Linked DNA regions of Cricetulus griseus. The protein of the gene in region 1 interacts with the protein of each later gene in a pairwise test. Links are inferred from orthologs where the notes say so. Each region holds a gene or a part of one and is shown in the gene's direction. Other genes may lie near its edges.

What was found.
Region 2: the proteins of protein N-terminal glutamine amidohydrolase (region 1) and Cdr2 interact in binary tests that used the Homo sapiens proteins (3 or more experiments, as listed by UniProt). The two-hybrid records come from large-scale screens. The link is inferred for Cricetulus griseus from reciprocal best matches to the Homo sapiens genes NTAQ1 and CDR2.

Annotation. Positions count from the first base shown.
Region 1 is NC_048603.1:29,479,000-29,482,646, reverse strand, and holds part of protein N-terminal glutamine amidohydrolase, read left to right. Parts: intron 1-1,030; coding exon 1,031-1,130; intron 1,131-2,506; coding exon 2,507-2,557; intron 2,558-3,647. UniProt on the Homo sapiens protein: Mediates the side-chain deamidation of N-terminal glutamine residues to glutamate, an important step in N-end rule pathway of protein degradation.
Region 2 is NC_048596.1:79,675,650-79,679,962, forward strand, and holds the start of Cdr2 (cerebellar degeneration-related protein 2), read left to right. Parts: upstream 1-1,398; 5' UTR 1,399-1,653; coding exon 1,654-1,729; intron 1,730-4,313.

The DNA of each region.
Region 1 (3,647 bases):
GGACAGGACTGACCCCGCCTGGCCTCTGCTTCCTGGTGCAGGCCCCCTGCTCTCTGCAGAACACTGCAGTATCTTCAGTTCTGGTGAACTCTCACTGTGCAGGGTGCCTGCGCTTAGGAGCGGGCTTCACACGCCTTCACCTTGACGTTGAGTGCTTGGAAACATGCATGCATGTATGTATGTAGTGTGTGTATGTATGTCTCTCATGTCTGTCTGTCTCTAATTATGCAATTAACAAGGCTCTAAACCACACATGGAGCGTGCCTGTAGTTCACAAGTACTCAAAAGGTCACCACAAGTTTGTGGCCAGTTTGGTCCACACATCGAGTTCCAGGTCAGCCAAGGTCTACATTATGAGACATTTGTCTCAAAAAGGGAGGAAGGAAGGAAGAGAGGGAGGGAGGGAGGGAAGGAGGGGACGCAGTCTGCATAAAGATGCCATCATATAGTTTGTCAGCTACAACTAAGGGACTAAATTCTATATCAAATCTAATTTAAAACATTCTGTCAAGAGCTTGGCGGTGGTGGTGCACGCCTTTAAGCCCAACATTCCAGAGGCAGAGGCAGGCAGATCTCTGAATTCAAGGCCAGCCTGGTCTACCGAGAGAGTTCCAGCATAGTTAGGTCAGTTACACAGAGAAACCCTGTCTTGATAACCAAAACAACCAAACAAAAAAGTCCTGTGACATTTCTCTATTAATTGGGATTTCTGGAGGGTTATGGTGTACGTGAAAACGTGCATTTTATAGAGGAGACAAGCGGTTCTTAGAGAAGACAGAATACAAAGCTGCTTTTCTTGTTAGTGTTGAGTTTGGATCCCAATGGTTTCTCAGCTTCTGGAATCCTGGCACACTCTTTTACAGGTCATAGTCTTCAGTGGGTGTGGTCCTCTGTCTGGATGCGTGCACAGTACAGGTTGGCTAGCAGCTTGTTGACTGTGCCTTAGAGGAGAGTCACTGTTACCCAGCTCTCTGATGAGGTGGTTAAGGTCCTTTCCAATGATATGGATTAAACAATTATTTTATTTTAGCGAGGAGAACATTTGGAAGCTCTGTGAATACATCAAAACCCATGACCAGTATCCCTTGGAAGAGTGTTCCGCTGTCTTCATATCAAATGAGAAGAAGATGGTAAGTTGGTGAGTGATGGCGGTGACATCAGAAGCTCAGCGCAGTCTGGAAGCTATTCTGTTCTCAAATGTGCTTTGTAACAGCAGCCTTTCAAACAGCTTTCTTTTTCTTCATTAGATTTGGTTCAGGAGAATTTGGTCCCTTGCTTGTAGGTAATGAAGTATGTAATGGCATGTTTATGTAGAATGCACAAGCAACTTGCTTTTTGCAACAGAGTCTCATAGTGTAGACCTTGGCTGACCTGGAACCCATTGTGTAGACCACGCTGGGCACAAACTTGTGGGGACCCTCTGAGTACTGGGTTTATAGGCATGCTCTGTGTCTAGCTTGGGGCTTTTTTAATTGTATAATTAAGCCATATAACTCTGATTTGAAGTAAAGATTTGTGTCTGAAGTTTGAATAGAGCTGGAGTAAACTTTCAGGGAGCATTAGAAGTAGCCCTTTGGGATTTCCAAACACTTTTGTGGACGTTGCCTCATTCGGGGCTCTTAGAAGTTCTATGAAATAGGCAGGGTCTAAACGACTTTCTCTGTTTTACTTTATTGACTTTACTTTTGTTTTGGAGACGGGTCGCATGTATCTCAGCCCACTAGCTTCACAGTCATCACATAGCTGAGGCTGGGATTTCAGGCACGAGCCTCCGTGACCTGCTAACTTTCTCCACCTAATCCGTGAAGAAGATGAGATGCAGAGAGGGCTCATGAGTAACTGAGGACTGACCCCGCCTGGCCTCTGCTTCCTGGTGCAGGCCCCTTGCTCTCTGGAGAACACTGCAGTATCTTCAGTTCTTGTGAACTCTCACTGTGCAGGGTGCCTGCGCGTAGGGTTTAGATTTTATTCTTTCACCTTGATTGCTTAGAAACAGAAACGTTTTTGACTTCAGAATTTAACTTAATTTATCTATTTATCCTGAAATTGGGTCTCACTATGTATCCCTGACTGGCTTCAAACTCAGAGGACCACCTACCTCTGCTTTTGAGTGTTGGGATTAAAGGCATGTGCAACTATGCCTGGCTAATTTTTTAAAATGTTTACAGGTGCTTTGCCTACATACAGGTCTGTGTACCTTGTGTGCACTGTGCCTGCAGAGGCCAGAAGAAGGGCTTGGATCCCTTGGACCTGGAGTTAGAGATGTCTATTAGCTACCATGTGGGTGCTGGGAGCATTCTGTCTTCTCCAGGAGCAGCCAGTGTGTGAGTTGCCATGTGGGTGCTGGGAGCAATCCTAGGTCTTCTCCAGGAGCGGCCAGTGTGTGAGATCTGCTGTCCCATCTCCCCAGTCCACTAAGGAATAGTTTATTACTTACTAGTGTATTGGTGGTATAAAGAATCTAGACGGGTTTGAATGAGACTCACGAATGTCCTCTGTTTTGTAGGTACCTATTTGGAAACAGCAGGCAAGACCTGGGAATGGACCTGTGATCTGGGTAAGCTGGCCACCTAAGAGCCTCTGATGCAGTGTTCCTTGTGGCCTCTGAGTAACCAGTATGCTGTGGTGAAGCAGAGTTGAAAGGACTCTAGAGAAAGGCCATGACAGTCATTAGTAAAAGGATCTTTTGAGAATGGATGTTATTCTGTCTGTGGCAGAAGCTCTGTGGACATATAGTTGTCTAACTTTTGTTTTGGGATCTATAATGGTTTGTGTGTGAAAAGTCCTCTACGGGCTTCTGTGTCTGAATTCCTGGTCCCTAGCTGGTGAATCTATTCTGTGAGGTTGTGGAGCCTCTGAGACCCGAGGCCTGGCTGGTACAAGCGTGTCAGTGGGAATGGGCCTTGAAGGTTGTACCTACTTGTGGTTATAGCCTGTGTTCTCCCAGACTGTTGTCATGTGAGGAACAATTGTCTCGTATTCCTGCTGCCATGAACAGTCACTCCCATCATGCCTTCCTCATAGGATTGGTAGACTGTAGGATTGGTAGACTGTAGGATTGGTAGGCTGTAGTTGGTAGACTGTAGGATTGGTAGACTGTAGTTAATAGACTGTAGTTGGTAGACTGTAGTTGGTAGACTGTAGTTGGTAGACTGTAGGATTGGTAGACTGTAGTTTAGACTGTAGTTGGTAGGCTGTAGGGTTGGTAGATTGTAGTTGGTAGACTGTAGTTGGTAGGCTGTAGGATTGGTAGGCTGTAGGATTGGAGAATGTAGTTGGTAGACTGTAGGATTGGTAGACTGTAGTTTAGACTGTAGTTGGTAGGCTGTAGGGTTGGTAGGCTGTAGGATTAGTAGACTGTAGTTGGTAGGCTATAGGATTGGTAGACTGTAGTTGGTAGACTGTAGGGTTGGTAGACTTGTGGGCTATCTGTACACAGTGTGAAGCTGTATTGCTGTGATTGGTGTCATAAAAAGCTGATTAGCCAGTAGCTAGGCAGGAGGTATAGGCAGGATTTCCTGGGAGAAAAAGGAAGAGGAGGAGGAATCTAGGCGTGTGTGAGAATCCAGGAGCCACAGAGGAGACAGGAGGTGCAAGGTGAACCTATGCTAGGACATAGGTTAATGTAAACGGGTTCATTTAAGTTA
Region 2 (4,313 bases), on another chromosome or scaffold:
TCTGTGAGTTCCAGGTCAGCCTAATCTACATGTGTCTGGCCAGCTGGGGCTACACAGTGAGACTCTGTGCAAACAACAAAAATAAAACTTACACTGGGGAGGCTTTCTTGGCCTTCACCAGACCACTATCCCAGGAGCAAGCACTTAGTGTTACAATGATTTAAGCAAGGTTGATTTTATAACCCACAAGAATGAAGATGGGCTGGAGATGTAGCTTAGGGGTAGTGATTGTCTGGCATGTACGAGGCACTAGGTTCATCCTTAGCACTGAAAAAATAAATTAGGATGAAGTTTTCCTTTCTCCAAATTACCCAAGACCTTATTCGTTTATATGGAAAAACAAAAGTAGCTGAGGATCTGTAACTTCTACCTAGCAATTTCTCCTATTTTTAACCATAGTAATTTGTGTACTTTTTTTTTTTTTTTTTTTTTTTTGGATAACTGCTTTCCATCTTAGTTCTGGTGACACTCCGGATGTGTATGAAGGCGTTACTAACTTCAAGAGGTATCTAGCGACTCACTATTGCCAAAGCTAAACGTTGACTTCTCTCCCCTCACTTGTTATAATTCTTCTCGTTTCCTCCTTAGACATTATCTATTAGCTCTAACATCCTAACAGCTGCGCCGACCTTTCTCCGTTTTAGAGTTTTCACGTGAGGCACCCGAAGGTGCTAAAAGCTCAACCCAAGAAACAATTACGTCTGCGTCACCAAGCGGACACTGCCCTGCTGGCCACAAGTGCAATGCCTGCTCCCAGATGTTTACCTTGGGCTCTATGAACGTTTAAAAAATTATGCAAAACTGCTGGCAACTTTTGCCAAGGGAGGCGTTTCCCACGGGCCGGTCCCAGCCTTCGAATGTCAAGTGGTGCTGGTGACCGCCGTTTTAGGAGTTAATTGCCATCCCCCCAAACTCAGACATTCAGGAGCAGCTTAGGCTCAATAGCGTTCTCTCGGCCTTAACCTCGCGACGGACCCTGAATCTCCCTCCGCGCATCACCGAGGGCAAAGCCGAGGAGGGCTGTCCCGCTTTCGAAACCTTCGGTGGGAAAATGATGCCCACTGCCCAGAGCCGGGAGTCCTCCTCAGTTGGGTACAAGACACGCCAGGGAGCCGAGAGGGTCGCCGCAGCCGCCTCCACCAGGCTCCGGAACAGGAGTGTATTCACTGAGAAGACGAGACGCTAACAAAAGGGGCGGGGCTGCCGGCCGCACCCTCTCCGCCTTTACCCGCCTCCTTTGTTCCTTCCTGAGCGTCTATTGGCCAAAGACACTCGGGCCCGCGACCTTCTTTGAGATACTATTGGCTGAAGTCGCTGTCGCTCTACCAGGGACCCATTCGCAATTGGTCAAGGCGCCGCCCGGGTTTGAATCGTCTCCCCGGCCTGGGAGGGCTCTGCCAAAGTGCCACGTTGGGCCGGGCAGCGGGTGTGTGGTGCCGGCTGCGGGCGCCACCCGGGGTGCGCTCTCTAGGGCGCTGGCCGTTGGGCGGCGCGAGGCGGACGCGGGCCGGCGGCGGGAGTTGCGGCGGGGCCGGCGCGTCCCGCCCGAGGGCGGCTCTGGCTGAGGGCGGAGGGGCCGGGGGACAGCCCGGGGCAGCGGCCGAAACGGCACGGTGGCGGCAGAGCCCGCTGCCCCCGGACACCCCCAGCGACATGCTGGCAGATAACCTGGTGGAGGAGTTTGAGATAGAAGATGAACCGTGGTACGACCACCGGGACCTCCAACAAGGTGAGGGCGAGGTCGCCGGGGTTGGGGGGTGGAGGCCCGGCAGGCGACAGGTGTGGAAAGTACTAGAAAGTTCCTTAGGCTGGTGGTCTGGGATGCGCGGCCGGGGGCTCCTCACTCTCACCTGGCAGCGGATCCGCCCATCCCGGCCGCCGGGAGCAAGCGCGCGGCCCTCGGCCCTGCGGATGTGCAACGCTGGCTGATGCTCGGCGCTTTAAGAAAGCGCTTTCTCGGGGGATGAGCGGATCTATCTCCTTCGGGGACCTCTGAGGTGGGCAGGGGTGAACCAGTGTGCCCCGCTCTAGAAGCAAGCTGCTGACTCTGCTTCTGGTCCTGCTGCCCTGCTCGCCCTCATGCGCTTTTCATGGCCCGCAGAGTCTGCAAGCCGCTGCAGGTGGTGGGGGTGCAGTACCGCACAGCAGTGCGGTACCCGCGCCATCACTCTCTGAGAGTGATGTTTTGTTATCCCGTTTCCCAGAAAGCAGAAGCTGAGTTAGGTGGACTCCCTAAAGCCGAATATGGGAGCTAGTATTTTTGATCCCACGCACTCGGGATGAGGAGCCTGTAGACACTGTTCGGACCTTAGCACCCCAGTGTACAACTTACAATTGGGTGTCAAACTGTTTTGTTTTGATATATTACTTTGGCGTCGTTTATCGGGTGCCAAGTGAAATTATGTGAGAAGAGTTCTATTATGCCTTTTTTTTTTCATTCGGATTTTCAATTAGAAATTATCCTGCCTTGGCTTTCTTGATTGTGGCATCTCCTGAGAACAATCTCAGAGTGCCCTCAGTTAGAAGCCAGTGGCCCATTTTCTTGCACAATCGTAGTAGGATTTTTCGCTTGAGGACACTGATAGGCTCTTAACACAATGATGGGCGCCTTTAATTCTCCCAATAACATCATGTGTTGCCATAGGTTACCTCTGGCTCAAGTAGATACTGTTGGGGAAATGAGGTTTTCACTGCAGACTCCAGAGCAAACATTCTTAACCACCATTCAGAGTGATCACCAGGAATTCTTCCAAGCATCCTGTTTGTTCTATTCTAGAGAATTATTTCCACTCTAAACTTGTAGTGAAAATTATCATCTTTGAGTTGGCTATTAAACACGGCTACTTGTTCACAATTCCACTGAGTTTGATAGAAAAGAAAAATGTGGACTTGAATGACCCTTACTTAGAAAAGAGAAAAAGAAAACAGGTACCTCTCTGGACAGGTGGTAATTTGTTATTTATTTCTGTCTGTCTTGATCCCTTAATGTGCAACGACTTAAGCCCAGATGGATACCTGTACTTGTATAATTGAAGCTACCTAGCAGTTACAATGCCGATTTGCTATCACATTTCTCCATGTCCAGAAGACGAATGTGTCACATACTTAGCCTATTTCAGATTTGCCCCATAAGGATTGATGACCTACTTTGATACTTAAGGACTGAAGCAGTCATCATGCGATTGCAACATTCTACTATATGAAAGCAGTTCATATAATCCAAGCAAGAGATTTTGCTTTGCCATATTTAAGAAACATCCAAAATCTTCAAGGGTAGGCTGGTTATACTTGTCTAACATCATATATAACACTTCATAATAGAAATGTGATTTAATAATTGTTGCCCTGAATTGAAGCTCTCTCTCACACAGGATTACTGTTTTCACAGCTTTCCTCTAACCAGTGCCTACTCTAACCTGCTTCCCCAGAAAGTTGTCAGGACAACCAATTTTAATATCCCAATTTACTGAGCAATAAACAAAACACGTTTGGGACTATGTGTGGGATTCTTAACTTCGGATCAAAATGAAGTTGTCACATCTTCATGTTTAGCAAATCCTAATATCTGAACTTATTTACTGTCAATTTCCACTTGGAATTTCTCCTATACTTTCCAAAGCCTTTTACATCTGTTATCACAACAGTAGACTTTGCCATAGCTTAAACAGCATATGGAGTACTAATAGGAGACGTGAAATCCCAGCTGTTAGCTCGTCAGTATGCAGCTGAAAGAATAATGGCTGCTCTTTTGAGCATATTTTCTCCAATTTTGCTAACTTGTATGTTAAATGCTTTTGTGTATTTGGTATTCCAGGATTGTGTGCATGCAACATACCACTGAGCCATTCTAGAACTAAACTTTGAACAGAATTTACAACTGTTTCTCAAGAACATATTGTTTTCTCTATACTAGGTATTTTTGGTTTTTGTTGTTGTTGTTGTTGGGTTATTTTGGTTTTTTTGAGACAAGGTTTCTCTGTAGCTTTGGAACATATCCTGGAACTCATTCTGTAGACCAGGGCTGGTCTTGAACTCAGAGATTCGCTTGTCTCTGCTTCCCGAGCACTGGAATTAAAGGAGTACGCCACCACCACCTGGCTTTATACTAGGTATTCTTATAGGCAGTGGCACCACTATCCTAGCCAGCTATCTGTTAGGAAGGCAGGACTCCACTCGGGGGTTGCTGTTCATGAATCCATTCCCTGGAGACATTTGGAGGTGCTAGTAAATGTAACCCTTTAGCATTTGATGCTAGGTAGTTTGGGACCAGCTCTTTGGATAAATTATGGAGCTCTAGTTGGATTTTATATGTG